Linked DNA regions of Alligator mississippiensis. The protein of the gene in region 1 interacts with the protein of each later gene in a biochemical or structural test. Links are inferred from orthologs where the notes say so. Each region holds a gene or a part of one and is shown on either strand. Other genes may lie near its edges. The genes, in order: ABCC4, ERBIN, MPP1 and PDZK1.

Region 1 (8,105 bases):
CCTCTCAGCATGTATTAAGAGGACCATGCCCCATGCTACAGAGGGAAGCAAAGTCCTTGCCAATCTGACGTAGAGAACAAACTCCTCCTTTCTGATTCCAGACTTGGCATTTATTATGACCCAGAGCAAGACCTTCCCAGAGTTTCCTAAGTGCCAGCAGGAGCATTAGCACACCCCAGGCAAAAACCTCCAGCCATAAATGGCCGTGCCCAGATAAGTGTGGACATGTGGTATGTGGCGCCACAGACCCATTTGCAAGACAAACACCACACATGCAGACATTTCCCACACAGCTACCTGGCAGCGTGGTGAGTTTTTTGATCCCAGGAGATCCCGTGGCAGCAGTGAGCAAGGCCTAAAACCAGAGCCTGTCTGGCCAGAGCCATGCTCTAGCTGCTGGCTGGGCTCCCAGCTGCAGTGGTACTATGGCCCAGGACCCCAGGTAAGGCTTCTGGAGCCAGCACAGGGCATGTGGCATGGGTATTCACTGGAAACAAGTAGCAGTGGCACAAGGTGTGCTGCTGCTACTTGTCCCAAGGGAAACAAATGTTCACGGTCATGTGGACGTGGTCAATATGGCCAACATCCCAGTGCTTAGAGGAAGCCTCCAAAAAACCCCAGAAGGTAGTAGACTTTTATCTTTCCTACTTCCTGCAGGCAAACAAAAGCCCTGAGGAATTGAATTACCAGACATCTACCACATTTTAAGAAAGTTAGACCTGTACCTCAACATAGGGATTGTATGTACTTGACCCTATATATAACCAGGGTTGGTGCCACTGGGGTGCAATGGTGCAGCTGCACTCCCCTTCGATTCTTGCTGCACCCAAACTTTAAAACCAACTACCTTCATAGCTCATTATCATCTCCCTGATTCCTGCTAATCTCTCTCCACTCCATGGGTGATAATGACCCTCTGTCTTTTTAATGGTCCTGCTAACCTACTGTTCAAACTATCCTTTCTTCTGCCATTTTGTTGTCTGTTAGCCATTCCTGGTAATGTCTCTTCTATTTCGTAGCCTGAAGACTGTTTTTAGTTCTAGGAAAAACCTTAACTCAGGTGTAGAAATGGCTAACAGGAAGTATTGGCGGTACTATCAAGACACTCGAGAAGAGTAGATTTTGCTTTATGAATCTGAATAAGAGATGTACATTTAATTATAATGACTACCGGACTTAATGATACAATATATTTTGATCATTTTGACTATTTTGCCTAGTTTATTGTGTTTTTTAAACTTTATAGATAATCTAGCAAATTAGTGCACATTTAACTAGTTATATTGGTTTTTGCTTTGACCTTAAAATGCATAATATGGTGCTAGCATATTAGCAAAGCATCTGGTTTTCCTTTAAGTAGATAAAAATGTGTTGTGTATATGTGATGATGTGCCACACTGTCTGCACCTCCCTTTTCAAAATCCTAGCTTTGTCTATGCATATAATACAAGGTAATAGTTGACCCAACAACTTCTTTTCCCATAATATTATGCTTTTGATAACTTATCTAGTTCAATTTAAAAACAGTTCCGGTTCTTTGTCCCCACATGAGGAAACACTTTCTAGTCAATAAATCAGAAAACGGGATAACAAATTGGACACAAACTGAACAGGTGGGTTGTAAGCCAGTAGACTACCAGACTGTTTTTGCCTATAGTATGAAAGGAAACCAGGCAAGTCAGTTGGCTGGTAAGCCCAGCAGCCTACTTGCCTGTCTGCTTTTCTGTCTTGTTTTGAACAAAAGCTTTGACAGAAACATGTTCATCGGAATCTTTTGATTCCATCAAATCATCATTTTCCTATGGACAATTGTTCCCTTGGAAAGCTTTCAACCACTCTAAACTGCTTTCTATGCTTCCTTTGCCAGACAGTTGCTATGTAATGCTAGGCAAATCACTTAAACCAAATTTTTGTTCCTGGTTACTCATTTTGTGACACCCCCCCCATTTCCTAATACTCATCTTGGGCCCCTGGGAGCTGATTTGCAGAAGTTCTGAATGCTCATAGCTTCAACAGATTTCAATGGGAGTTGCACTTTGAAAATGCATCATTGTGTTGAATATCCTGGAAAAGTAGGTTCTAGATGTACCTAACTGAGTAGACATTTTTTATTTCTTTGGAAATTTTTAATTTACATCTCCTTCATTGGAAGTTTTTTTTTTTAATTTTTAAAGAATAGGCCAGATAAGCATTTGTTAGGGATAGTTTAGGAATAGACAGCTTGCATCTGTGCAGGCAGTTGGACTAGATGATTTTTGAGGTCCCTTCCAATGATTTTAATAACGCTTTGCTTCAGTTTCCCATCCAGAAATTGGAGGTCATACCACACTATTGGGAGATGTAGGGTGAAAAATGTTTGTAAAGCACTGGGTACAGTAGTGATAAATACACAGAAATGCTCACAGGGAAGTTAGTAATTCTATATTCAGACCAAGGTATGAATAGAGCAGTAAATAAGGCATATTGCCATATATTGAGAAATGAGGATAAAATGAATATTGAACAGCTGCCCATTCAGTGATGACCAGTTTTCCTGTACACCAAATGAGAAAGGAAATCTGTTTGTGTTGTTTTTTTTAAATGTAATTGAAGGCTGTAACATAATGCATATGTATAAGAGGTTGAATTGTGTTGCCTTTTCTTAGGCATTTCCTAATCATGAGTGCTTGATCATACAACCTTAATGTTCTTTCAAGGTAGCTGTATGTAATTATTAATAAAGTTGTACTTTCTAGAAATGGCTCTGTGTGTGTGTGTGTGTGTGTGTGTGTGTGTGTATATGTATCTGTGTATCAATAAGCACAGAACTCCATATATGACTAAGTGCAAGTGTCAAGCTAGTGGTTTTGTCCCTCCTGTCTTTATATTATTTCCTATGAATTTGTTCACTTTTCATTTTCCCATTTTCTTTTGTATGTAGCCTTAAATTTTCAGAGGACAAAATTCCATGGCTTGTTTTGTGTTTTATTACCTTTTATAATGATGCAATGTTCTATTTCTGGGTTCTTGCCAGGTAGTGGCATTTTCCCAATGGTAGACAGCTCTGTAACAGCTACTCCTACAAATTTATCTAGCCTACTGGCTTTTAAAAAAATATTTTCTGTTTAATATGATTTTGTTTTTTTCCCCTTCTGCTTTGCTTTCCTCTCTCCATCCAATTATCTTTTAAGAGCATTTGGTTTTGGAAATTAAGTTATTGGAAATACTTAAATGTGTGTAAATGTTTACAAGGCTGGAGCCCTAGTTGGTATCATTTACAGTATCAGTGTCATTCATAATAATGGGGGTGGAATGCAGAGAGAGAGAGGACTTAAGACACTAATCCAGGAAGTAAATTATTTATTCTTTTCTCCAAAGCCAATGTCCTTGGGGGAAAAAAAAATTCTCTCTGTGTTATAACAACAAAGCAGTCATTACGGTATGACTAAAATTAACCAAGGATTATAGACTTAATTTTGCTGCCTTATCCAAAGAAAGAATCCTAATTCACAGGCAGCCCAACTTTACTATTTTATCCCAGGAAGGTAATGGTGCTTATATTAAGATCTCCACCTTAATGTCTTTTCACTCTTTTAAAATTTTTTTCCCCCCTCTGAGTGGTATAAAGACCTTCTACAGGTTTTTTCTGAAGTTCTGGCATGAGCGACCGGTGCCTTCTGAGTCAGATGGGTCCCCCTGCAGCTGATCACACTGACCCAGAAGTGCCAACGACGCTTCTCCTGGTGCCCCTACTCCCCAGCCAGCGCTTTCAGGGGGAGCACCAGCGCTCCCACCTGCCCCCCGTCCATTGCTTAAGTGGGGAACGCTGGCTGGCAGGGGGTGCATAAGCGCTCTCAGGGGGTGGATGTGCACCCTCATGCACCCCCTCCATGTTGCCACTGAGTCCCAGCTTTAACTTTTGTATTAAAAACTGCACGCGCATATCCAGAGAAGCTGTAATGGGGTAGTTATACCCCCTCTTTTGGATTGCACTGTACCAGGGGAGCTTTGGGGGACTTTTTAACTCTTTAAAAAGAAGTGAAAACCTTCCTCCCCTGCTTTTCCCCACTTTCTCTGCTTTCTCACTGTCCCAGGGGTGGGGGAAGCACCAGAGCCGCTCCTGTCTGGTGTAGCCAGGCTGCATGTGGGCTGATCTCAGCTGGGGACGGCAGCAGTGGGGATGGGTTGAGGGGAATCCCCTTCAGTCTGCCTGCTCCCAGGGGATGGAGGACAGAGAGAGGAACTACTCTCCCACCCTGGTGTTGCCCCTGTCCCCTCCCCAGATGAGGCCAGCCTGGCTGGGTGAGGAGGAACAGCTCTGGTGCTCTCCCAGCCCCCAAAACATCTGGGAAAGCAACAATGGCAGCTGTGGAATGGGGAGGGAAGGGAAAGGAGGTGGGACTTGTCACCTGCTTTAGAGACCTAAAGTCCCTGCGGGCTGTTGAGGACAGTCTGTTTGCACGGGTGGGGAAGGAAGCAGGGAGGTAGGGGTACAGTCACCCCCACACCTCTCTTTGGGAAATCCTAGATCCACCCCTGAATAAAAGGTTGGCCACATTTGATCTCGGGGTAACCATGATTTGCCTGTTTTCAGCGAGTGCTAGATTCCAGTGAGAGTGGGCCGTGTGTGTTTGAGCGTATGTTTAAGTGTGTGAGCATGTGTCTAAATGAGCATGTCTCCACATGCACCGTTACTTGGCAGTAACTTAAGTTACCTCTCAGTGGCCAAAAATCACTGCGCAGTCCGCACACTGTGCAGTAACTCTAGTGACATGCACCGATTTGGGTGGAAATTTGCTACCTGCATGAGGCAGGTAGCAAATTCCCACCTGAGTGTTTCCTGCACAGTGACAGGGGTTTAGGTTGTAGCCGTGTTGGTCTAAGGACATAGATGCCTTACTGCACAGTATCCCTATTTGTGTACCCAAGTCCATCCAGACACAAACTTACTGCGCTGTAATGCCTGCGGGTCTAAACCCAACCCTCTCCATAAAAGCCCGGTAAATGCACGTGTCGACATGCGCGGTGTGTGCGTGTAGCTGTGTCCCTACATGCCATTCAAGAAGGGTTTGGGCGCTCTGAGGTGGGCTGCAACCTGCTCTTTCCCTGCCGGGCAGGGGCAGGGCCGCGCCGGAGCCTGTCGCTCAGGGCCGTGAAGGAAGGGACTTTGGAGGGGAGCAGGGCACCCGCACCTGGGCTGTTTCCGCGCCAGGCTTTGAAGGCAGGGAGCGGGAGCGGGTCCGGGCAGCCCTCTCCTCTGGGGCGGCTCCGCCCCGGCCCGGCCCGGCCCGGCTCCCGGTTCCCGCCGCCGCTCTGTGCCGCAGAGGCAGGGCCCGGGGCGGCCCCGGAAGCGGCGGGTGCCCGTGCCAGTGCCCGTGCCCCGGGGCTGGCGGCGGCATGGAGGCGCTGCCCCGCGCGGAGAACCCCAACCCGCTGCAGGGCGCCAACCTCTGCTCGCGGCTCTTCTTCTGGTGAGTGCGGCCCGCGGGGAGCCGGGCTCCTCTCCTCCTCCTCGGCCTCTCCCTGCGCCTCCTCTCGCAGCCGCGGCTGGAGGGAGCTTCAGGTCGGGAAAGCCTGTGGTCGGGCGCGCTCTCCCTCTGCCCGCACCCGTGTGTCCAGCCGTGCCTCTGCCGTATCTGGCATCTCTCTCATTCGCACTCGCTCTGTCCTATCCCTCCAGAGCTGTTTCTTTCTATCACTCTCCTGCTGCATCTGTCACCGTTACCATCACTCACTCTGTCACTGTGGTGCCCTATTGCTCGCTCGCTCTTTATCACATCGCCTTGCTTGCTCTGTCACTCGTATCTATCACCTTATCACTGTCTTGCTCCCGCTCACTCATATTGTATCGCTTGGTCTATTGCTATCATTTGCTCTATCACTTGTCTCTGTCACCGTATCACTGTCTATTGCTCACTCTCTCTTTATCACATCGTATCGCTTGCTCTGTCACTCGTATCTATCACCATATCACTGTCTTGGTTTATCGCTCGCTCTTACTATCATCTCGTATTAGTTGCTCTATTACTGTTACTGTCACTCGCTCTGTTGCTCTATTGTATTGCTCTCTCACTGTGTTGCTCTATCATTGTATCACTGTCTACTCCTCTTTTGCTCTCAATCATATTGTATCACTTACTCTATCACTTGTTCCGTCACTCAATCACTATATCACTGTCTTGCTCTGTCACTCACTCTCTATCATATTGTATCGTTTGCTCTATAACTATAACTATCATTCACTCTATCAATTATATCTATCACTATATCACTGTAGCTCACTGTCATATTGTAGTGCTCACTTTATCACTCGCTCTGTCTGTCGCTCTATAGCTATAGATCTGCTTTAAGGTAGATATTGCTCTGGTGATATAGCTGTAGATCTACTCTGCATAGACAGATCTAGGATTTTGAAAAGGGAGCTGGGCATATAGTGTGGTACGTCATCACGTATAACACAGCACATATTTATCCAGTTAAAGAGAAAGCAGATGCTTTGCTAACCTTTGGTTAGTCTATAAGGTGCAAATCTACTCTGCTGTCCACTTGACTTCAGATTAACAGGGCTAAAACTCCATGCTCTGTACAGAGGTGGCATCACCCATGGCTCATCCCTGCTTTCTACAGTGGTTGCCCACAGCAGGGAGAGAGTTTGCTTCTTGTTTTCCCTAGACTTTTTGGAGAGGGAGGTGAAGAGGATCCCACCCACTTGTCTTCTCCCACTCTGTGCATCTGGATCCCAGCTTTATTCGTCCCTTGGCCAGATATGCAGTGTGAAGACTTTGCAGGGGCTGGGCAGCATGCCAGAAACCTCTTTGTTTGAACACTTTGGAAACCCAGATGGTGTTTGAATTAACCATCTTGACAGTACAACCAGATCTGAGTAGGTGCAAGAATCCTTTCTGGAAGGTGGAGAGGGACCATCCCTTCCTCCAGAAAGACAAAAAGCAAGTGACCAAGCAGATTTTCCCTTATTTAGGGTATGTGTTCAGAGGTCCTAAGTTTTAGGAGGTACAAAAACAAAACATCCCAGATAGCCCTGGTAGAGTTCCCTCTGCTGGGCGCTCACCAGGCTGCTGTGTTTGCGTCTCAAGATGCTAAAGCCAGGATTTTTTTAGGTTTTCCTTGGATGGAAGAGACTGCAGCACACTCTTTTTCCTTGCCCTCTCTAGCCCTTTAGCACAGAGGTGTTGTTAGCTGTGTTAGTCTGAAGTTAAATAGAAGGCAGGGTAGATCTGCACCTTATAGACTAATCAGACCACCTCTATTTTGGTTAGTCTGTGAGGTGCAAATCTATCCTGCCTTTCTCTCTAGCCCCTTCCTGGGCTGTTTCTGCTCCACTGAAATGAGACCATATGGGCCAGCTGCCCAGCACATTAGAGCAAGTGCTAAGCTCTCTGTAGCTTGTGTGCACCTGTTTGCAGGACTGACCTTGTTGGTGTTTTGCATTTTCAGCTCTCCCTGAGTGGTTACACTATATGCATACAGCTGTAAAGTGGATTTCATTGCTGACCTGTATTACAAAAATAAAGCTAGTGTTTGCAACACCACTAATACACTATTTTGTTAGAGCTGGGGAATATGGAAAGCCTAAAGGCCGTGTTGAATGAGTACTTTAAGAAGTGTGATTTTTTTTTTTTTTTAACAGCTCAGTTCTTAATCATTATTCTTAGGGGGAAAAAAATTATAAGTTTGTGAATTAATCCAAAGAAAGTAAAGCATGTATCTCAGATACCAGAACTACAGTGCACAGAGAAGAAGAGAGAGGAAGCAGAGAAATGTGCCAACTGTTGTGTTTTGTAGTGAGTCCTGTCAGGAATGGCACCCCTCTAGGGAATTCCTACGCTCTGCATTAAGAAGTATGCAACATTTGCATAGTTATTCCTTGGTTGCTCTCATTTTCCTTTGTAAACCCTTGATGTCCCAGTACTGTGGACCTTATGATGAGTAGTAGCCTCACTTGTTCTTTCAGGCAGGTGGAGAATGTTGAAAAGTCACGGGTTCCTTTTGCTGTGGATGTAGAGACTTTTCTCAATCCTCTGCACATGCTGCTGTGGAGGGGAAGGAATTCAATCATTTTTAACCTGACTATAAAAAATAGTCATTTTTAAAGTGCTCACTTAAAA
Region 2 (8,191 bases), on another chromosome or scaffold:
AATTGATAAACATTCCACTGGTGGTTGAGTAACTACATTCTGTTGTGCTGAGTGCAATTCCCTACCTGTAGTCAGACTTTCATCTTTGCAAAAACTGCCAGAAAGATCTGCTGTACCTCTGTGTGTGTGGTATTTTCCAGTGAACGTTTTAATCAAGAACATCATCTGTAATCACCTACATTAAATTGCCTGCACAGCAAGCATGTTCCCACATGGATCCAATCTTTTATTTTCAGGTTAATAAAAGTAGTTTTATCTCCCAGTTATTTGGAAAAGTTAAACCAAAACTTCAGTAACCAAACCAGCTATCAAACCCACCAAAAGAAAATCAGGTGATTCCAGAAGTGATGGAAAAAAATCAACACTTGGTGTTCACACAAACTTTTCTCTTTTTCCCCTAGCAAAGAGAAAGCATTAATTATAAAAGAAAAAAGAAAAATATTTCATGAACAGCCCTAGGTAAAATGAAAAGGAAGAAATGTCTTCCTATTATTTCACTTTCAGAGGAAAGCAAGGAAAACTGTACCAAAATGCTGATGTCATAAATGTAAAGAAAAATATTTTCTTAGTAGCCATACCATGAATATAATCAAACTTAGCCAAGAATCTAGAAAGCATTAAATACATTCTCCATGTTTTGGTAGTATTGAGCTGATGTAGCTTTGATGAACCAGGAAAAATGTGGAAGGCAAAAATTTTTGTCCATGATATCTTTTATTGGATCAACTGTATAGCTGGGAAGGACATAGACAAGCTTTCAGGTACCACTGTACCCTTCCTCATGTCTTTTGAGGAAAGTAACCTGATAATCTCACTTATACCCTGTTTTTATTAAATGCATGGAATTTTGCACAAGCCTGTATTCTCTCTGCTATGCATCTTTTATTGGACCAACTGGAGCTATTACTCCAAAAGTCCTTGCCTCTTAAATATAACCTAAACTCAGGAAAAATTAGCACTGTTATTACTTTAAAGTTGAACATCCAACGACTTCCCCCCCACCCCCCATCACCACATTTTATAGCTTTTCCTCCCCAAAAGCTCCTAAAATCAACTCTGTATGAATTAGACTTAGAAACAAGATCCTACAAAGTTCACTTATGTGCCAAAAAAAAACTTAAGTAACTTAAGGCTGAGAATTGGAAGAGAGATCTCTTTACGATTGCTGTGTTAACCATGTTTTATATGCCTCTGACACAGTATTTTGGCACATTGGCAATTAAAAGTAAATAGGTGATCATGCACATGCAGAGAGAGCATAACTCAATTTGGGGGATTGGGAAAGCAGTACATTAAGTGAAAATATTTCAGTAACAAAGGAATATATAATTTTAAAGATTAAACAGTGAAAGTTATGGAGGGTGTGGTACATAAGCTACCCATACCAGAGACAATGTTTTATACTACATAACTAAACTGAACAAAACTGTCAATTAAAAAATATACTGCCATGTATTTTTTAAAACATTAAAAGACACTGCTGATTACCCAAAAGGATCAGCTTCCTGATTACAACTAACACTGTGGCAATGAAATGAATGGAATTCTATGACGTAGCTCTTAGCTGTAAGCAGTAGTGAATTCCACTTTCATCATTAAAGAAGGGCCTTATCATAGCTACCATGGTGACAAAACACTAGTGTAAAACGTTGCAGCCCCAACTATAAGGATCTATTCTCCTGCACATCATTGAAAAAATATGAAGTGTATCATCAGACAACCAAAAGGTCTGAAAAAAAACAAATTTCATCCACAAACACACTGATTTGCAACTACTTTTGTCATGCACTGCTACAGTTCCCCCCCTTAGAAACTAAAGTCATTATTGGGAATGAAGCACTGCTTTGGAAAGTGATCGTTCTTTGTAAAAGGATTACTCTATTTAGGCTTCAATGCTTTTCTGCCAAGCCTAAGCCATATAAGGAAGCTGAAGTTCACTGCCATCTATTTTGTTCCAGTCCTTTCAAGATGTTTATTGCTGCCTGCAAAGGTAAACCTGTAAGCTGTACACCGATCAGATGTTTATTACCGATATACCTGGTGTCTAAGATCAGCTGAAAGTTGTCATTTTTCTACTAAAAAAAAAGCTATCAAACCAGTCTGTCAGACGAACAAAACTTTCACACAAAACACAAAGCTGCCTCGTTATTTAACTGGTGCCTTGTCTACCTCTGACCGCACTCAGACCCAGGTGTAGGTAAGTTCACACAAAAAGGAAAGCTTAAGATGCCTTGCTGCAAAACTCAAAACTGACCCCCTCCCCCACCCAATCCTCAACACCACAAGCAGCCGGCACTGTACACCCTACCTCATCTCATCGCTCAAAACAAACCGCTGTCTGTCAGGTTCACCTCACAAGGGACAACGGCAATTCCCACTGGTTTCTACCAACGCAAACAAGCCACTCCACAGCCTTGGCTTCCCAGACCTTTAAAAAAAAAAGTTCACAGCTTCCTGCTTCCTGGACATCGTCTCTCTCTTCCCTGCTCAAGCAGCGCGGGGACCCCGGTATATCTAACATGTGGCAGCTGCTCCTTGAGCCCCCTTAAACCAGAGCAGGCCGGAGAGCGCATAGAAACTTGGCTCCGTAGCGGTGTGCCGGCTCCCCCACGGCGCACAGCAAGCAGCAGCCACGACACGGACGTAGCGGAGCCCCGGGGACGGCGCCCGCGGGCTTCCCCGAGCAGTGCCGCCGGCAGGCGGGCGGGCGGCCTCCACCTGGGCGCTAGGAGCTGGCGCAAGCCCAGGCTGGAAGTTGGCTCCGGTCCCCAGCCCCGCGCCCCGGCAGGGCCCGGCCGCCATCCGGAGCCGCCTACGCGGAACAAAGGAAGTTGAGCCCCGCGGGCCCCGGCCGCACAAAGGGCGGCATGAGGCGCCGCCGCCCGCCCCACGCGGCTCGCCCGCCCCTCGCCCCGCTCACCTCGGCCCGGGCCCGGCGCCGCTGCCGGGAAGCGCCACTGCCGCCGCCGAGCTTCCCCCACGGGCGAGCGGCCCCGCAGCACCAGCTCCTCCCCCGCGCTAGGCCGGTGCCGCGCCGCGCCGCGCCGCCCAGGCCCCTTATTGTCCTGCCGCCGCCGCCAGGGGCCCGGGGGCCAGCGCAGCCCCGCCCCGCCCCGCCCCGCCCCGTCTGCCCCTCCCTCGCCCGGCGGCGGCGGCGGCGGCGCTGGGAGCGCGGCTCGGGGCGTTCGCTGCCTCCGCCTCGCCGCACACGGCAGCGCCCGCACAGCGCCGCCCAGGCCGGGGGGGGCACTGCAGCAGCGGCGGCGGGAGGTGCCGTCTCGTCTCGCCTCGCCTCGCCTCGCTCCCACTGGCTGCCTGCGAGCGAGTGGCAGCGAGGTCCGCCAGTCCGCGCCCGGCCTGGCCGCCGACAGCCAATGGCTCCGCGCCGAGGGCCGGGCGTAGCCTGGCTGTGACGCGGAAGGAAGCCGGGGCGGTGCTGGGGAAGGGGCCCCGCGGGTTTCTCCCCTTGGGCGCGCGCGGGAGCTGCGGTGGGCGCCGCTCGCAGCCCTGGGCGGCAGGAGCCGAGTGGTTTCGGGGAAGCTGGCCTGGCGCGGGGAGGAGGCGGCGGCGGCTCTCCGGGCCACCAGCACAGGCCCTGCCGTGGGGCCTCTGCCCGGAAACGGCCTGCGAGTTGAGCTGGGCTGGGCTGGGCTGACGGTGCAGCCAGCAGAGACCTGAGGAAAAAGGGCTGGCATCGGGAAGCTTGTCTGCCTTTATTCCAACTACGTAGTTGGCCCAACAAGCCATCATCACCCTAAGGAGTTCTCACTTCTGTTGTGGCAGCCCCAGGGCGACACATAGCAGGTGCACGGGCACCCCTTGAGCATGGCAGGGCACCCTCTACGCTGTCCGCAGTGCCTGCAGGCGGGCACCACTCGCCACCCCGCCGCCCACACCACCGCCGGTGAGTGAGGGTGGTCGCCAAACCTTGGTGCTTGCCATCCTCCCCACCCTGCCAACAGTACCCGCGGCGTCTGCGGGATCTCCCTCGCTTACCACAGCTGCACTCCCGCTGCCACCGTGCCCTCCCAGCCAATGGGGGCATGCACTGCTTGTGGCAGGCAAGGTTCTTTGAGTAGGTGTGATATCTTTTATTAGACCAACTGAGTAGCTGGAAAAAAAAAAGTTTACAAGCTTTCAGGCACAGTCACCCTTCGTCTGACTGTGCCTGAAAGCACATAGGCACATAGGGAGTCTCTGCTGGTCTAAGACTCCAAGGAAATGAGAGAAGCTAAAAGTATGACAGGATGTCAGTGACAATGTACATGGGTGGAAATTAGGAAAACAAAAGGTAGGGAAGGGAAGAGAGGGGAAGAAAAAACAGGAGAAAGCCTGAAAGCTTGCATAGAACTTTTTTCCAACTACTCATTTGGTCTAACAAAAGATATTGCATTTACCCAAATAACCTTACCTGCCTATGTCTTTAGACCAACATGGCTACAACCAAAAACCCAGCTTGCTTCTGTTATAATTTATGGACCATCACTTCTACACTTTCACGAACTCTAATGTATCACCACACACAACTTAACAGGAACCGCAGTTCACGGTCACCTGGCTTCAGAACTCCTCTGCATGTTCGCACTCAACAACATGTTGCACCAACTGTTTGTTACCTTTTCTTTCCTTGAATGCTCCCCCTCCCCCCTGTAATTTAGCTGATTGACTGCTTTTGCCGAATCCTAAAGGAAGTCCTGGAGCCTGCAATTCTGTTGTGCTGCAAAGTGGACAGCACAGGCAACAGCAGGGCAGACTTCTACACGCTGCTCACCTTATGTTCCCTAATTGTGTTCTAGGGGGACCACCTGTAAGGACAGAGGGAGTTCAGTTTTCATGCCCATTTAATCTTTGGCATCTCTGCTGGGACTGCCTTCAACTCTGCCAATAATTTTCTCTTGTCAAAACCTGTTGACTAAGAATGGGACTAAACATCAACTTGTTTTTATAAGCCGCCTAACAGACATCAGGTAGTAATGACTTGTCACTATCAGCCTACATCTGAGTCCAGCAGCCAGCCTAAAGATGAAAAGCTCCCCAAACCATTTCTAACCGTGCGGGCCACCATTTGACTAATGTTTGAAGTGCTGGTGAGGGTAGTTTAGTTTACAATAGCAATGAAATGCAGTTGATCATATTTAAATAAATACACGTTTGTGCCATTCAGAGGTTTTATTAGAATGTTCTCATGTGTGAATGGGAATTGCCCATTTCACTGTCTAATGTCAGACATCTGGACATAGGAACTTGACATGCATGTATATCAGCACTATGCATTAACTTAGTTTAGCTCAACTTATTTCTCCTCTATTTCTCAACTAATCCCCTCTTCTCAATTTAATAAAGCATACATTCCTGACTTAGAGCTACATTTATGGCAAGCTTCAAAATTTAAACACAATCACTGGAACCAGAGTTGGAAAAAAAATCCTAATTTTTCTTCCTTGAAGTACAAAATCACCACTAATCTCTCATGTTCACATAAGCTATTTTCTTCAAATGACTCACATTTGGACAAAGACCAAGTATGAGAACCTTTAGTCCTTAAAGTTAAAAGTGCTTGAAAACAGAGGCATAGAATTAAAGTACTTTCTCATTTATCAATAGAGTCACTACAGTGATGCTACAATAGAATTGCTGAAGTTTCACCTTGCATGAACAACTGAGAGTTCCTTTCTGATAGCAACACTGTATCGCTATAATTAACGTTATTACAAGACTATACTTCTCTCTGGTGACCTACTTATTTTCATGAACAATTTGAGGCACCTACCTGGAGCATGAGCTTATCCTGCCTTTTGTTTATGGTGGGATGGTTGTGTGGCAATGTTTGCTGTAAATTACTTAACACATCTGCTAGTGGAGTGTAGGAGATTCACAGTGGCTGTCATTCCCATGCAAGATCTACTATTATTTCATTTATAGTTTCAGGGTAAGATTTAATTTTACTTGTGGTATGCACCATCCAAACCCAAACAATATAACCACAAATTTTAAAAAAAGTATCTTAGATCAGAGCTCCTCGAGACATTTTATACAGACAAGATTAAACTATTTACACAAATTACAAATATACCAAAAGTTATCCTAGGGATATAAAACGGCTATAAATATCAGAATAGTATTTAGATTACAGCTAAAGCACAGTCCACTGCAAAAATTAACTCCCAGACTTGGTATTCCAGTTACCACATAATTTACATGTTAAATATACAACATACAAACTCTAAAGTAATATAGCAAGATATCTTTAGATGGGGCCATGCACATAATTCTATGGAAGGTTGAAACAAATTCTTTAACTAGGTCTTAGGCAGACAAGGTTCCTTGGGTGAACCTTGTCTGCCTATGTCCTTAGACCAACACGGCTACAACCTACACCCCTGCAACCTGGAAGTTAACTAGGTCTTGATACTAGACACCACACCCAAAGTTTTCTGATTCTATATTTAAATAGCAAGATTAGCAAATATTGCAACAGCAAACTACATAACTGAAAGAAGCTGCCAAAACAGTCACATCTAACATGTATTTTTCTAAATTAAAAAACTCAAATGATTCAGAACAGTATACATATTGCTGCACCATGTAACCATATGTTCTTATTCCTTGTTGCTCTTTTATGCCTACTGTTTGTTACACTCATTTTCTGCATCTTTTCTTAACTTGCATTTGTATTCTAACTAGCATAATGGGCCCCTGATTCTAGCTGGTATTTCTGAATATCACTACAATACAAATACTAAATCGTAATTATGAATTAATATTAATAACTACAATTAAATGGACTAAATTAACTAACAGGTCGTGATGCTTGTTTCCAAGCTGGTTATGGACAGGACAGTAAAGCATCTAGCTCTTACAACTGTCCCTCCCACTGGTGGTACAGTCTTTCTAATCAAACAGTTTAAAAAATGGCGCTTTTAAAAATTATCTTTCTTAGGATTATGACTTAAGTTGCATTCCACTTTTTGACTAAAGTCTGCAAACACCTAACAAATCAAAACATTAAAACCATCAAATTGTACGAGGACAAATTTTAACCAGTTCTGTTCCAGAGAGATAAATCGTACTTTTGAAAGAGCCACCTGGCTACCATGTAGAAAATTGCTGCATTATAGAAGAAACACCCCCTCCATGAATTGCACACCACTGTTTATGACATACCATCCCTCCCTGGATCCTATATGGAAAATCCTCAAGCAGTACTAGAAGGAGACCCTATTTTTAAAGAGTTCTTTCCAGAACCACCTATCCTAGCTTTAAACAAGCACCGAACCTCGCCAACTTCATCACCAGAAGCAAACTTCCTATGACCCAAAACACACCAAATGGATCCAGACCATGCTATGACAAGAAATGTAAGACCTGTCAACACATCTCTACCACCCCCACAGTTCCTATACCCCACAACAGAACCATCAACGTTCCTGGATCTTACATCTGCATCTCCAGAATTGCAATACATCTCATCCAATGCACCGATTACCCTGATGGAAAATATGTTAGAGAAACCAAATAACAACGGTGTACCAGAATAAACACACACCGAAAATCTATCAAAGACAAGAATACCCAGTTACCTGTGGGAGCACCTCTCTCACAAGAAAACCAATCTCTCAGTTGTAATCCTCAAAAGGAATTTACAAACAACTTTTCACAGACGAACCTTTGAACTTCACTTTGTCAGTCTACTGGATACAAAACATAATGGAGTAAATATAGACATTGGATTTATGACACATTATAACCTGCCTAACATCTGACTCCCCAGATTACCTGGTAAAAAGTGGAGAGTTTTTCTCATTCTCTTCCCCCAACTCTGTATCCATTGACTACAGCTACATTCATTTCCTTCCCCCCCCACCATCTGTCTCACCTACTGACCACTTCAATTTACATTTTAACTGACTGACTTTCTTCCATACGTACTGGCCTCTGGCTGCTTTACTACTCCATCCAGGAAGAGCATAGACCATCTACAGATGCTTCCTCAGCCTGACGAAAGGTATTTGTACCCAGAAGTTTGCCAAGAAGAACTTTTTCAACTATTTGAGTTGGTCTAATAAAAGACATCGGATTTACCCAAAGAATCTTGTCTGTCTATGTCCTTAGACCAACACAGCTACAACCTACGCCCTTAAACATGTTCCCTATGCATCCAGAACATTAGTGTGAGTCTAAATTTTTCCCT
Region 3 (7,911 bases), on another chromosome or scaffold:
AACAACAACAATCAGTACCCACTCTGCACAGCTAGAGGGATTTACTTTGATTTGTCCTAGATGTACCAATGGCACCTTCCATACACATTTCAGACATTTAAAGAGTTTTCATCATGGTGCCAGATCTAAACCACAAAAATATAAGCGACTCCAGAATACTGGCTAAAAAGTTGCTGTGTCAGCACACATGGTGTGGGGTAGTACTTCTTGCTGGTTTCTATTGCACAACAGGGTGGGTTAAGAACAAAAGTTTCAATCTTGACTCCTGCTTTCCGCCCGGTGCTTGTAGGTTTGAAAAAAAAAGCAGTATATTTATGTAATAGCCCAACCCTGGACGTGCATAGCCTGAATACTAAATGCTTTCATCACCTCCTGGACACTGCTGGAACAAGGGCTGGATCCCCAGGTGCTGTAAGTTGCTGCCAGCTGCATTAGAGAGCCCCAATTTGTACCAGCTGATGACATGGTCCCTTTCAGCAGTGGGGCACAATATAGATACTTTCCTGAATGAGTACCCTGCCCCTTGCTGCTGGATATGAAGCCTGCCACACAATAAGAACTCTCACTGAGGAAGGCAACAGCAATGCCCCATTTTCCTAGGGCTGAAAATCTGTTGTCACATCTCTGCTGGGCTGATCTGTGGACCTGCTTCCTGAGGTTGCTCAGTCGCTGAATCAGCTCATGTGACAGGCAGTTCCAGCTCAGACCAGCTACTACTTTGCAGCAAAACTAAGAAAGAGCTTCTCTTTAATTCGATTCTGAAACTCCCAGCTTGCTATCCCCTCCCTACCCAGACTGAGTTAGATAGCAAATCTTTTTTCCTTTCTGGTAGCTTCAAATTCCCCTCCATCTAGTGTGGACACTCATTTATGCATGGTACAGGGATGGCAATAGGTAAACAGAATAGGGACCATTTTAAAGGTGGTTACCAGACCTCTACCAACCCAGCTGGAAATGTGCCCTTACCCCAAAACAGTCCTTCTGGCAGGAGCTGAATTCAGTCCCCCTCTATGCCTAGTCAACACTGCTTCCCCCAACAGCCAGGGAGTGGTTCAGAGTAACTGGAAGGGACTTTGGGGGGAGTGGATCTCATCCAATCTCTTGCTGTTGCAGGCAACCATGCCATATGATCAGTCTTGTAAACTATCAAGAGTCACTTCAGATGTATACCGGCATGAAAAGTAGGGTTGCCATCCCTGCCAGCTCAGGAGATGGGGCGGGGGAGGGCAAGGCAGGAGAATGAACAGGTCTCTCACGCACCAGTACCCTGGGTGTTACTAAGAGTAGCCATAACCCTGCCCCTGTCAGCAAAGGCAGCTGTAGCCATCTGGTGACCTTATGGAAAACTTCAATATACTGAGGAAGCTGTCTGAGAAGGGAAAGATGGGGCAAATCAGAATCATGACTGGCAGGGAAAACACCATGTATCTGGGTCCACAAGGCAGTTTTTCTTAAGCACCTGGGAGATAACTGCTCTTCTGGCATGGTTCAGTACCCGCTGAGGTGTTGGGGCTTTAAGGCCACTTTATGGAATTGGGAAACTCCTCCCTAGCTTGCTCCTACAGCCATATGGCTGAGGGCAAGCGAAACACGAGGGCATCCAAACCCCAAGCCTCCAGGCGTGGGCCTGTACATAGGATGCCCACCAAAAGACATTGGAAACATCTGAAGCCCCTGGTAGGGGTGGAAGATGTTTGCCAGATGTAGGGCCACTTATGGTTCTGGACTGACTCATGGATTTGGACTTGATTTAGCTTGGAACACGAAAAAAAATTAAAAAAAAAGAAAAAAAAGACGAAGCATCAGCACGACACTTTCCAATAACAATATAGTGCCTTCCAGCCGAGGATCTCAAAGTGGAGAGGGGGCAATGTTCACTCCTTTGTCATACAAATAGAGAAACTGAGGCACAGACAGGTACAAAGATTTGTTTGAAAGCTTACAAAGAGACTAAGAAAAGACCGGGCCGTCCTAGCTCCCAGCCCTGTGCCTTTCCAAGTCAGCTTTGCCAGTGGCAGGGAAGAACAAAGATGGTAACCCATGACTGACTGCAACTGTACATTAAACTTCTTAGTGTCTTTGACTCTGTCCCAGTGAAGTTAGCAGCTAAGGCACCAGCCCAACACACAAACTAGGATGCTGCAGCTGAGGATCTACGGTAACGTCCCTTTTCCTGTGGGGCTTTTCTAGGCTGCCTGGTATGAAACCCAAATGCATTCATGCCATCAGTGAAGCAAGCCTATCATCAGTACCCCAAGGTGCTGTGAAAACCTGCCAGCCCAAGTGCCACAGCAGCATCCCAGGCAAAGCAAAAGGAATGGAAGCTCTTTCTCCTCACAGGGCTAGCAAGCGCCCAGCCTGGACCACGGGGGAGCTGTTGGCTTCCTCACCTAAGCGGGGCTGGCTGCTGCGGGGACCCTCGCCTGTCTGCACACCGGGCCCTCTGCCTGGGGAGACCTGTGAGGAGGCCACCCCACAACAGACCCCCCTTTCTCCCCTTTGGCAGCAGCAGCTCTGCTCTGGGGCTCTCCCTAACTCGGGCCGGGCTGGGGCTGCCCAGGGTGTTTGCTCTGGAGCGTCACCCACCAGGCTGGAGCGCCGGGATCTCTGGCGGCCCCCTTGGCCTGTCCCTGCCAGATGGGATGCCAGGGGGCCTGCCTCCCTCCCAGCTCGGGGAGGGGCCTGGAGGGGCCTGGAAACAACCGGCTGGCGGGGCTGAGCCCGCCGGCTCCGGCAGCGCCGAGCACCGACCCCGCGCGGTTCCTGCAGGGCAGGGAGGAAGCGGCCTGGCGCCCCGCGCCGCCCTACCTCGGGCTTGGGCCGGTGCTGCAGCAGGTGCTCCAGGTAGAGGTCGGACAGCGCCGTGCGCATGCTGCTCACGCTGTCGCTGCGGCTCCACTTCAGGGTCATGCTGAGCTCCGGCCGCCGCCTCGGGCCGGGCTGCACCGCGGGGACGAGCGGCCGGGCTGCCGCGGCAGAGCGCGGGGCAGAAAGGACGGAGCCGCGCTGCGGGCAGGCAGCTGGCCCGGCCCGGCCCGGCCCGCTCCGCCCCGGCCCGCCCCGCGGCAGGGGGAGGCGGGAGCGGGCGCCGCAGCCGAGCGCCCTGGAGCGCGGCGGCAGCGGGGGCGGCGCTGCGGTCGCTGCCGCTCTCGGGCCGGCTCGGCCGGCAGCTGGGGGCGCCCGAGACCTCCGCTCCCCGCCCGCGCTCCCCGAGGGCCGGGACGCGCACCAGTGCCCGCCTGCGCGCGGCGGCGGCGGCGGGGTCGGGCGCTCCCCAAGGAGCGGGGACCGCGGGGCCGCGGCAGGGCCAGGAAGGGACATATTTGTCCAGCAAACTGCACCGTGGGACCCCGGTTGAAAACGAGCCCATACAGGTGCCAACCCCCGTTGGACAGCAAGTCCCAAGCCTTCCCTAGTACGGATCCGCACCTCCCCCTGCACCCCAGCCGCCTCGGCCTGAAGTGGGGCAGGTTCTGACTGGCAAGAAGGGTGTCAGAAACGGTCCAGCTTCCCCCTGCACAGAGGATCAGCTGGGCAGTGGGCATGGGGTGGTACAGTGAGGGCAGTCTAGGAACCTGTCCAAAAACATTGCGTCCAGTTACCTTGTGGTGCAATCCAAACTCCCACCCTGAAACAGAGCCTGTCAACTGCCAGGAGGCCCTGGGCAGCAGGTGCCCTGCTCACACCTTCAGGAGGTGACCCCTGTGCCCACAGCCTCCCACTGCTTATCAGGTAACTGTGCAGCACTACCACTCCACCCACATCACCATCCTGACAGTCCTGATCAGCCCCAGGACTCACAGCAGCAGCCTCTTGAGATTCACATCCCTGAGGGTGAAATCCAAATACCACTGAAATCGGTGGGAATTTTGCTGTTAAATTCAATGAAACCAAGATTTCACTATATATTGAAATCCAGACCACATGGACAGTGATCAAAGATTGCCACCCTTGGACTTTGCTCAGAACATTCATTGTGAGAAGTGGATTGGTGACCTCAAGGCCAGTTTTAGCCAGTTTTGGTCTAAGCATTGGTCATACTTTGAAAGGAACTTGGAGGCAGGAAGCTCACTTCTCATTCACACAGTGGCCCATTTCCCTTGCAAGCAGTTGCTCCTCTTTTATCTTGCCCATGTTTCAAAACTCCTAATCAAACACAGATGCTAGTGCTTATGGACAAGGGGCACAAGGAGGGGTGATACCAACATAAGACACGTCCAACAAGGTACTGGGAAATAAGATTGCTACTTGGCTGAGAACATAGCAGTGGAACCCGAGGCTGGCAGAGCACGCCCGTCGTGGGACCGCTTGGAGCCTGGGGCCCCAGCAACGAGAGCGTCCTGCATGCCTGCAGTGTTTCCCACCGCTACACCAAGCTGATGTGCTGCCTCGTGGTGTCCAACATGATCTGCTGGTCCGCCACTGGACCAGACCCAGAGGGGACTGCCCGAACCCCTCTCTGCACCTGATGGACTTTGAGAGGAATCTTCAACAACGGACCACCCCGCTCCACCCAAAGAGGACCCCCGTGATGAGACTCTATGGACTGAGAAACTTTCTCCAACCTACTCTCTCCATCATTGTGGACCATTGTACAGGTTTGTGTTTATCTATCTTCTTTCTCTCTTAGCGTTGCGAACCCCCTCCCTCCCCTTCCCCCACAGCACAGAGGATCAATGCGCTTCTCGTACGCAGCCCCTGCGCACAGGCGGGGCACTGGTGCGCGTCCCTGCCCTCGGGGAGGCGCAGGGGGAGTACAGGCAGGGAGTGGAGCGGGGGAGCTCTCGGCTTAGTTGGCTAACATTGTATTTTCTGTAACCTAGTTGCATTCCCCTCCTCTCATCCCCATCTTTTTTATGTTAGTCCCTTGCTCAAGCACTCTGTATTTCCCTACTGGCTTTGTCATCTTTTTGGTTCATAACTGTTAACATCCACTAATAAAATTCAATCTTGCCTTAGACCAAAATGGGCAAAACCTCTCAGACAGCAGATTTGACATAAACAATAGATACACTTATCAGGAGCTCCTTTTTATTTCTGCCTGTCTGTGAAGCAGCTCATTTGAAGAGGTCAACGGTAAATTCCATCTACTGGATGGGCCAAACAGAGATGAAGGATGAAGTCATGCTGGACCATGTTAACTGCTGTGTCTTTGCTCTATAGACCATTGCAGATGGTCTGACTGCAGTTTTGAGTATGCTAAGCAAATCCCATGGGCTCTGCATTTCCCTTTTCCCCTTTTCCCCCAAATCCATAGGGCTGCCCATTGATCCCTAAAACATTCCTTGAAATTGTGATACTGATTAGATGTGATGTTCCAAACAAGCAACGACCATCAAGATGAGTGGTGGGTAGGTCTCACTTCACTCCACCAATAAAAAATCTACCAGTTTTAGCAATCCAAATTGTGGAGTAGGAGACCAAAACAGAGCAACCCACATGCTCTGTACCTTTCATATATAAAGGGGTTTAGAGCGTATATGGCTCTACTAGGAGTCAACTGCAAAAGTGAGACCCAAAGTCTGGATCAGAGAATCAGGCTTTTGGTGTGGCCAGGTTCAGAGATCAAAATGGCCCAGCTGAGAAACTTGGAGGCATTCAGTTTTGTTTCATTCCTATCCCTAGATGCATATTCAGCTCTTCATAAGCAGATGGGACCTTCATGCTTCTTGGTCTGTCACGTGTATCAGCTTGCACAATGCTGGCAGACATTTTACCAGATGGACTGGGTGTTAGACAGAGTCAGAAGACATTTGTCCTACTCTGGGATCTGTCACTGATGTCATGCAAGTCATTTCCCTCTCTGTCTCTCATTTTGCCCCCTCTCATTGTCTGTTTTGTCTATTCAGAAAGTGAAAGATAGTGACTGTCCTGAAAAGTTTACAGTGTTTGCCGTGTGTCTAGTACAACAGAAACTTGACCTTGGATGGAACTCCTAGTCCCTACTGTGACATAAATACTAGTGTAAGAAAGTCCCTCAGGTCAGTGTAGCACATAGGGACAGCCTCATACCACAACTTGGTAATGCTGCAAGGAAAGTTTTATCCCATTAAGATAAAAAATGAATCCTTTAGAAATAAATCCATTTAACATGAATGATTGATTCTGTTATAGACTTGTGTGAGGTTCTTTCTCAGTACAGAGTAATGCTTAGCAAGGAGTTTTCCTCTTTACATACCAGGAATCTGTCCCAAGTGGCTGAAACCAAATGTCAGTATGACATGCCTCTATTAAGTAATATTACATGGATATGGGTATTATTTGAAAGTATATGTATTGATAATGCTCCCAAAGGAAGAGCAGCTGCCAAGTCATTTCACTGGTTTAATTCAACACATACTGATAGCAAAACATCAGAAAGGGAAGGTCTAGGAGTTACTGAATGATAAATAATGTGATCTGGATGTTCAGTGTACATTTTCTTCATTCGTACAAAATCAGCAGAATGAGCAGAAAGAAAGAAACAGTGCTGGCCAACCTGATATGTATGAAAAACCAGGAACAGCTCACATGTACTGCTGGAACTTTTGAGGAACACTTCATTGGGCTGGGCCACAAACCCTGGAGAAGACAGACACACCTTGCAATTCCTTTGGTTTTCTCACTCCATGAGAACCCTGAAAAACAAAAGCAGGAGGCAGAATAACATGTCAGTAAATGGAAAATAGGGTGAGAACATGCTGGGGACCAAGAAAGGAAAAGAAAATGAAAATAAGACCCAACTTGCTGTAACTACAACTTTCTCTTGCTTGGTGGGATAAAGCTGCTTCTAGCTGCAACACTGAAAAAAACAAAGTACTGAGAAGTTTAGTTTGGGGATTTGGCAGAGAAGGCAAATTTGAGGTGCAATTCTCTCAGGAATACTGGACTATACTCTTTCATGAAGTTATCAAGGACACTTCCCTGAGAACAAAAATCACTCCTAAATACAGCAAAACTATTCCTGGAAGGACTGGGTGTGGTATAGCAGGTATCCAAAGCCTCAGTTCACACAAATAGATTTTTTCAAAGAAAGGAAATTAGTTTTTCCTCCCATCTCAGCAGAAACTTATACAGCGGGGAGTGATGGATACATCTACCACTGTCCAGTAAGAGGACCCTAGTCTTTTCTTTGGTAATGAGAACTATTGCTCTTTATGTAAAAATAAGCCATAAAATATATGCATTTAACTCAAAACCCAAATCTGAATATTCCCAACCTTTAAAAAAATTCACGTCTAAATTTTATGAACATTTTTTATTTGTAAGTTAATTACTTTTTACCACACCCAGAGGCTTAATGAAGTACTTCATAAACTGGGAAAACTTATTCTTGTATATATTTCTCTGAAGGACTACTTTGTTTTAAAAGCACAGGGCACATCACGAATCAAAACATACAGTGTTGATTCTACCTATAACATAGCAAACTGCACAAGAAAACATATCCTAAGGAAAAAGAGAAAGGTCACGGCAACTCAACATGATGACTGAAAGAAAAGTAATTGCTTAAATAGAAAGAGAAGAAAAAGAGAGTTTTGCCTATTGAGATTTCTTGGTTTAGCAGGATCATTGAGCACACAAGAGGCTATACTTACTGGATCTACAAGTGATAGCATAGGGAAAATTCCTCTGGCATGCCATTCCACAAAACTACTTTGTAGGAAAGGTTAAAGTAAAAGCATTATTTGTATCATCTAACACTACAGGTACATATCCCAACTATGCCATACCATACACCACCTGCTAAGTGATGCAGTCCACATGTGATGACCACCATCTTGGTCATGGCTAGGAACCAGATTGAAAACAATGTAAACTGCAGGATTAAATCTTGGAAGTAGGAGTGTAAGCAAACCATCTCCTATGTGGACTGGGCATGGAGGGAGCTGCTTCATAAACACTGAACTGCGGGTTACATACACACTTACG
Region 4 (7,656 bases), about 99 Mb from region 1:
GTAACAAGGGTTAATTGGCTTCTAAAAGCCTATTTGTGACAACTTTTGCTTCAAGGCCCACCATATTTGAAGCCAGCAGACAAACAGGCTGGGAAATTGAAAACATGTACCACTCTAATCCATAACAAAAGATAGGTTTGCCATGTTGGAGCCAGGTCACAGTGACTAGCTGCAGAGACCTTGTGATTTCTGGTTTTGAGGCATCCGGGGCATGTCCAAATTAAGATGCTGGTAAATGATCAAATTAAGATGCGTGCATTTGATGGGTTTGTTGGAACAAAGGAATATGCTGACAGAACAGAATGTGGACAGTACGATGACCACAGGGAGACCAATCAATGATGCCCAGAAATGGAGAGTCAGCAGAGGAGAGAGAGACTACAAAAGGAAGGAATACAAAAAGAGCAGCAAAGGGTTCCTGAGGTGGGATTATGAGGCTACCATGGACAGGGGGCATATCACCAGCCCATCTCACCCACCTCAGTGTGGGGGGAATGGGTGGGAGTGGGTCTCCAGGCTGCTGACATCCAAGAAAACCACAGGGTCAAGCTTGCGTGCTGGCCAGACGTACCTCCCCTCTGTGACAACCCTAGGACTGGTAGATCTAGAATTGGGAGGTAGGAGAGGTGTGTATTTTGTTTGCCTTGCCTGTATTATTCTTGTATACTATCATTGTGTATCAATAAAATTTGTCAATTATTGGATAAAAGGAAGTCCTGGTTGGTATGAGGGTTTGGGTCCACTCAGATTAAGATATCTGGGTCATAAATCCAATGCCAACAATTGGCACCTATTTACAAAGCACCTTTCTCTGGCCAAGTTCAATGTCTGGTTCTCCATACCCAAGCATTGTCTCCACAAATGATACGCTTACTTGGCCAAAAAAGGACTTGATGATTTTTCATTTCCCTTTCTGCTGCTTATGGAGCAAGACTGAGGGGTCTACTAGTAATTTGGATGTTCAAGACCACTATCCTACCTACTGAATCAGAATATTTTATGCATGAGACGACTTATGGAATCCTCAGATTCCAGCTAGTTCATTGCTGAATATTTTAGCAGAAACAGGCAAATAAATATGCTAATCCTAAATTACCTCTTTGGAAGGTAATAGTGTCTGTCTGGAATGTTTCTTTAGCTTGTTGATGTAGCCATGTGGCAGGGACAGCTAGTTCTTTTGCATACTTGGCTATGAATACCACTACTAGGCTGAATAGTACACTATCTCTTTGGGTGCCTGGCTATTTTAGAGAGTTATGTCATGAAAAGGCAGGTTTAAGGTACAGAAAGCAAGCAGAGAAAGCTGCTTCTCTAGGGAAGGCGTCTCAAGCAATCCTGCCAAAGAACCACATTGATAAATATGTCCATGGGATGAAGTGGTGGCTAATTTGGACAATGTAGGCTCTCTGGAAGTTCAGGCAATAATGAGTCGATAATCTATCGGGCTTCAGCAAAAATGGACTTTCTTCATCCTCTCTTTACTAGCAGGAATCTGTGAGATGACCACGGAAAGCTGTGTTGGAGAGATTATACATTAATCACAGCCTAGGCCGATAAAGGCCATCTAATCACCCATTGTAAAACTTTCATAATCACTGCCTTTCACTCTTTATCTTGTGGCTGATGTACACAGGAACACTTACTATGAGGATCTGGCACACAGTTCACTTCAGGCTCTTGATCACATGTTTGCCTTTGAATATACTCTGTGACCACTAGCAGAAAACAACCCATGTCCACAGAGCCCATGAACTTCTGAGCATAGAGAATTTCATCAGAGGCAAAGGGAGTTTGACTCTGGAGCACGATTAGATTACTATGTTGTACAGATGGTCTGGCCTTGGGAAATTGTGGTGCTAACGACAGCTCTTTCAAACCCCCCCCCCCCCCCCCCAATATTTCTAAGAATCACAGATACGTTGAGGGAAGTATCCCGCAAAGTCCAGCACCAGACAAGTTCTGGCTGTGGACTCACCACTCCAAATTTTTAACTATATGATTGATATCCCCCAGAAATTGGATTCCTACACCCATGCACCCACATACATAGACATGCATGCATGCATGTGTAAATACACACCAAGATTATTACAGTCCCTTCCCCTCCCCTGTTGGTAGAAGGGTGTGTGTGGGTCAGCTAGGCTGTCAAAAGTATCTGAAGCACAGACACTTCAGAAGAAGTTTAGAAGGATAAAGGAAGCTTGGTAGCTTGGTGCTCCCCCACTGTCAAGAGAGAAAGAGTAACTTAATATTCTACAATGCCTCCAGTCTATAACGCTTACACCACAGGGGATGTTAAGACTGAAGGAAGTACTGCTGCACCCATTCCCTCTATTCTTTTTAGCTTTTTCCTCAGGGTCTATTCAGAGAGTTCATCTTGACAGAGGTTCTGCTCTGCTCTTTAGCCCATCAACTGTAAAGAGCAACATCCTCTGTTATGTAGAAACACACAATTTACCTATTTCAGTGGAGCTTACTCCTGAAACCAGTGGGCTACATTGATTAAAATTGAAGGTCATAGCAGTCTGTCCGCTGAACACTAGGAATGAGCATTGGTGCTTGAAATCAAAGAAAAACCCCAATGTAGACAAAGCTTACACAATCAGGTGGAGGGGAAGGAAAATTCCAAAGACAAATAGAAATGCCATTCTCAGTGCAGGGAAGCCTTACATGCATGGTACATGGTGGAATCTGCTTTGTAACAAGAAGGAGATTTGGAGGATAGTGAGCAGTGAAGAAGAAAAGGAAATTCCTACCTGTGTAAGAGCTCTATCCTCAGGAATGCTCTGCAGCAGTCTCTCCTGGTGGTTGTAACTGTAGGCACAGCTGGACTTTGGTAGAGCAAAGGTTGATTTAAAAGATGATTTATTTAACTGAGTTTCACTGCATAGGTTATCTACTTGATAACCTGCCTTGGGCCAGCCTGCTGAGCTACAAAGTGCTTCTCCCCTCTCAGCAGCTTTGAATTCCACTCCATGTTCCACTGATTATTACACCAGCAAACTCGGGTTTCTCCAGGAGTGGGTCCAAGACAAGCCTGATCTTTGAGCTTTCCCAGAGAGACAATGAAAATAAGGATCAGGGAAATGTCAACCTGACTGATGGGTGAATGCAGATATATACGTATATGTGCTATATATAGCAAACTTATCTAGACCTTGCATAGGCACTCTAAGTGAGTTTGCAAGGCAGATTGTGGCTAGAAATCAATGTTATTTGTATTACTGCAGCACCTAAATGTCCTAACGAAGACTGTAGCCCCACAGTATTAGGCACTGCAGGAAAAAACATAGTCATAGTGCCTGCCCCAGAGACCTACAATTTAACATAGAAGGAAGACAAAGGGTGGGAAGGAAGCAAGAGGCCCAGCAAAGTGCTTTCAGCAGGAGGACAATAGAAAGCCTGATCAAGGTCAATGGTAGAGCTGGGAATAGGATCCAAGTCCTCTGACTGCCAGTCACTTTATTATGAAGCCCCCGGGGACTGCACAACAGTTGAGGTAATGTGGTGTTGTCATAATGCAGCTTCATTTGATATTCCCTCCATGAGCAGGCTCCATCAGCTTCGTGGGTACTGGAGATGTGTTACAGACTAGTAATTGCTTTAAGAACAGTAATTTAAGCCTATGTAGATGTTCCAGCGAAGTCAGAAGAGAGGGCCAATGTTTGTAGGTAGATTCCAGAAGGGTCAGAATCCATGGAGAAGAGCCTGGCACCTGAGAGGGGGGCTTGGGATACCCTTTTCCCAGAAGGAAAATTCCATACCTGGGAATGGGGTTGTGAATACCCTTTGTGACTGGACAGCAGTCGGTCTCAAAGGCAGGCAAGAGACTGGGTGGGGGTTCTTGTGTAATAGGCCAATGCAATAAGGGTAAAGTTCTTTGGAGAGAATGAGTCAGCAGCTGCAAGCATTGGAGAAAGGACCTCTACGTGGCTCAGAGCACTTGTCAGTGTGGTCTGCGTGAGAGGCCCTCCACTGTGTCTGAAAGCTTTTAATGTTCAGCATGGCCTACCCCATGTGCTCAGAAATGATGAGATTGGCCCCCAAATCATGAAATTGACTTAAAAAATCATAAAGCAGGACTTTTATCGTTTGCTTTTCTGATTTCTGAGTCATTTAGGGCATGTTCTTAAGCACTGTTGCACATCTGATGTCTAGACCCTTAAAAAGCACAGCTCATGTAATCATACGCCCCCGGGGAGCTGGGTTTGTGGTCACTTAAGGCCTGTTATGCTCCATCTCATGCTTATTTCTGTTGCAGCAGAGGTGAGTGTGGGCATTTCTGCACCCTGGGCAGGGGTGGCTTGTGGGTCAGCATTAGTGGCAATGCTGCCAGCAGCAGCGTTGGCTGGGCTGCTGTTTTTGCAACCCACCCCATAACTCAACCTCCCCCTATGTATCACTCAGCTATGTTACTGCATTGCAGCTGTGTTCTCTTTGTCACATTATTAACATTTGGGGAGTAACTACTTTAAAATAAGCATGTGTTTTCTCCACTTAGGAACTCCTGCTGGAATCAGATGCAAGCTCGGAGCAAACTCTGTAAAGCTTATCTGTGCTACCTAAGGAGTTATCTGTTTACAAGCCATCATTCCAGATTTATAGCAGGGATAAACTATAACTCTGCCAATTCAACTGTATGCTGTAGTGCCTAACTGAGCTAAGGTTACAGTATCATATTTGCAGGGTCTCTCAAGGGAAGAAATTTTTGTTTGATTTTAGGATCTTGGTGCCAATCCTAGGTTTTACTAAGCATACAGTAAGGTGGTGCAGAAGACTGTGAGTAAAATAACCTTTGGCACTTCTATAGCACTTCCATCCCAATGAGAAATTGTAATTATTGCTGCCCCCATTGTTCAAATGGGGAAGCAGACAAACATAGAGATAGGCTTAGAAACTGTGCAGAAACACATCCTGGCTTGTTAATAGACACAATGAAGCACAAAAGATTACAGATCATTAGAAAAACAAGCAGATTCCCCTATGCAATACAGCTCAGTCTAGCTAACGCTGAAGGCTGAAGTGCCCATCTCTATTTAGCCAGGTAGGCAGTTCATGATTTATCCTTTCCGACTTGGGCTAGAGACAGTACACATAAACCAGTTTAAATGCTCAGAAACTGGCTTAAATCTGTAACAGAACAGGCATTCAGTGGACGTTAACCAGTTTCAAAATGGCCGAAATCAGTTTGAGATAAACGTGGTTGAATGTAGACTTAACTGATTTGGCTCAAACCAGTTTATGCAATGTCTGTCTCAGACCCCTTCCTGGTTTAACTTAAACCAGAGTCCCCCAGCATCCCAGCATGCTCTCTGGGCTGCCTTCTCTGCTCCAGGCTAGCAGGGCTGACCCCACTGCTTCCCAGCCAGGGCAGGGGTAGGGGTCTGGCCAGAGAATGGTTTAATTCCCCCCTCTCTGTCCTACCAACAGGTCTGCCAGGAGCTCCCACCTCACTGCTGCTGCACCATGGCCCTGAGGCAGAGTGGGGCAGGAAGTGGGGTTAGTTTCCCCTCTATCCTCAATGGCAGCCAGGTTTTCCCACCATTGGTGCCATGCTCACTCCCTGTGGCAGAATAAGTCCCCGGCTGTCCCCTCAGCTGAATGCGAGAGGGAGGGGGAATAACCTCTGTCCCTGCCCACCCCACCAAGGGACCCTGCTGGCCGGTGTCTAGCCCTGCCCCCTCCCTGCCGCTGCAGTGGGAGTGGGCAGAGCCCTTAATGCGGGCAGCAGCCCCTGTCATGTCAGTGTGAGCCTCATGGGCAACTGGTACCACCTTAGTCCGGGGGGGGGCACATGGCACCCCAGTGACCAGTCAGCGGGGGGACTGAGCGGGGGGACGTCCTCTTGCAGCCAATCTCACTGACTGGGAGGGTGGGGGTCAGTGAGCCATGGTGCTCCCACTCCCCTGCCAGCGCTCGTGGGGGGGCACCAGCATTCCTGCCTGCTTCCCCTGCCTGTCACCTAAGCAGCAAGCATGGCTGGTCAGGGGCTGCACCAGTGCTCTCAGGGGGTGCACGTGCACCCCTGTGCACCCCCTACATGTCACCACTGATGAGCCCCTTCCCAGTGGGGGCTCTGCACTGCGGGGTGGGCAGAGCTGCAGTGGGCTGCCTTCCCAGCAGGGGGGCCACACTGTAGGGCAAGGAAAGCTGCTGTGGACCATGGCAATGGCAGCGCTGTGGGGGCTTAGGGGGCTCTGGCCCCTTCCGGACCCTGGTGCTGCCACATGCAGCCTGCTGCAGCTCTGCCCACGCCATAGTGCAGTGCCCCTGCCTGGAAGGGCTTGCACTCCCTGACATTATGACAGGGGCTGCTGCCCCCATCAAGGGCCCTGCCCCCTTCCACTGCAGTCGTGGGATGGGGGTATGGCCAGAAGTTGGCTGGCAGGGCCCCTTGAAGGGGGGCAGGTAGGGAGGGGGGTTAGTCCCCCTCCCTCCGGTGTCCAGTGGAGGGGACAGCAGGGGGCTTGTTCCGCCTCAGAAAGGGAGCGCAGCACTGACCGCAGGCAGATCTGGCTGCCACTTTAGTTAGAGGGGAGACTAACCCCACTTCCTGGCCCCATCTGTCTCAGGGGCCATTGTGCCCTGCTGCTGCAGCAGCAATGAGGGAGTGCCTAGCAGACCTGGATCAGGGCCCTGCTGGTGGGACAGGGAATGGGGAATGAAATCCCTCTCTGGCCAGTTCAGCCCAGGCTGGCCATGGCCCCGCAGCATAGCTTCCCTGCAGTCGAGAATGTGCTCTACCACCTCCTGGCGCCTGGCCTGAGCAACTGCAGGCATGTGCCCTCAGTTCCTCAGTCCACTGGGAATGTCTATCCTGTTACAAACTGGTTCAACCTGGGCAGGTTAGATTAACCTGCAAGGGTTGAATTAATTCAGGCTCTGGCATTTTGGATGTCTGTCCCCAGCCTTGCAGATACACCTGGTCTCTTCTTGTCAGGGAAGACAGCTCAGTCACTTCCCCTTCTGTACAAAGCATCTGGTTTGTTTTCCTGCTTGGGAGCCTTTTCCAGCTCTGCTTCGCCAGTTCTGTCTCTTCATCTCCTTTCTAGTAACTTCCCACATTTTCCAGGCAAGAGGAAGAAGAACCAGTAGTGCTTTCCAGGTACCCACAGTATGCTTCAGGACCTCAGTCCCCAAAGAGGATTAATGTTTTCAGTTTTCTTGCCCAGGTGAAATGTTTCTTTTTTCCAAAATCCCTGATTTCTGGTGATTTTTCTTATTTGTGTATTCTTTAGATATTTTTTTTTCTGGTATGGCACCATGATTCAGTTTTGTAAGGGCCTCCAAGGATTAAAATGTCATCTTTGTAATAAGTTGAAGAAATATATTTTTTTCTCCTTTTGTACACATATTGTTCAATAGCTTATTTGATTCCAATTCAAGCTGTTGCTTGGAGAAAGTTATTTTAGTTTATTTGCTTGTAAGGAGATGCCAAAAAGTACATTTTAAACTAGATGCTTGAATGGGTTATGCTCAAGGTTCATTTTAAATCTGGTGAGCCCACGGATGGCTGATACATAAATAACCCAAACATAGCTGTGAGTTAAATAACAAATTACTCAGACAACCCACACAACTTCAGGTTCATGAGATAAAGGAAATGGCATCCCTAACATTGTGCTGTTTCTAATTACTTGGTGAACCAATTTTAAC

What was found.
Region 2: the proteins of ABCC4 (region 1) and ERBIN interact in a test that uses a peptide from one of them, tested with the Homo sapiens proteins (2 studies listed by BioGRID and IntAct). The link is inferred for Alligator mississippiensis from reciprocal best matches to the Homo sapiens genes ABCC4 and ERBIN.
Region 3: the proteins of ABCC4 (region 1) and MPP1 form a complex in vitro, tested with the Homo sapiens proteins (2 studies listed by BioGRID and IntAct, with this or other methods). The link is inferred for Alligator mississippiensis from reciprocal best matches to the Homo sapiens genes ABCC4 and MPP1.
Region 4: the proteins of ABCC4 (region 1) and PDZK1 form a complex in vitro, tested with the Homo sapiens proteins (2 studies listed by BioGRID and IntAct, with this or other methods). The link is inferred for Alligator mississippiensis from reciprocal best matches to the Homo sapiens genes ABCC4 and PDZK1.

The regions. Positions count from the first base shown.
Region 1 is NC_081824.1:367,956,450-367,964,554, forward strand, and holds the start of ABCC4 (ATP-binding cassette sub-family C member 4), read left to right. Parts: upstream 1-5,063; 5' UTR 5,064-5,376; coding exon 5,377-5,450; intron 5,451-8,105. UniProt on the Homo sapiens protein: ATP-dependent transporter of the ATP-binding cassette (ABC) family that actively extrudes physiological compounds and xenobiotics from cells.
Region 2 is NC_081826.1:260,482,928-260,491,118, forward strand, and holds the start of ERBIN (erbin), read right to left. Parts: upstream 3,103-8,191; 5' UTR 2,921-3,102; intron 1-2,920. UniProt on the Homo sapiens protein: Acts as an adapter for the receptor ERBB2, in epithelia. By binding the unphosphorylated 'Tyr-1248' of receptor ERBB2, it may contribute to stabilize this unphosphorylated state.
Region 3 is NC_081831.1:36,491,321-36,499,231, forward strand, and holds the start of MPP1 (55 kDa erythrocyte membrane protein), read right to left. Parts: upstream 3,012-7,911; 5' UTR 2,911-3,011; coding exon 2,809-2,910; intron 1-2,808. UniProt on the Homo sapiens protein: Essential regulator of neutrophil polarity. Regulates neutrophil polarization by regulating AKT1 phosphorylation through a mechanism that is independent of PIK3CG activity.
Region 4 is NC_081824.1:268,601,614-268,609,269, forward strand, and holds the start of PDZK1 (Na(+)/H(+) exchange regulatory cofactor NHE-RF3), read right to left. Parts: upstream 3,050-7,656; 5' UTR 2,757-3,049; intron 1-2,756. UniProt on the Homo sapiens protein: A scaffold protein that connects plasma membrane proteins and regulatory components, regulating their surface expression in epithelial cells apical domains.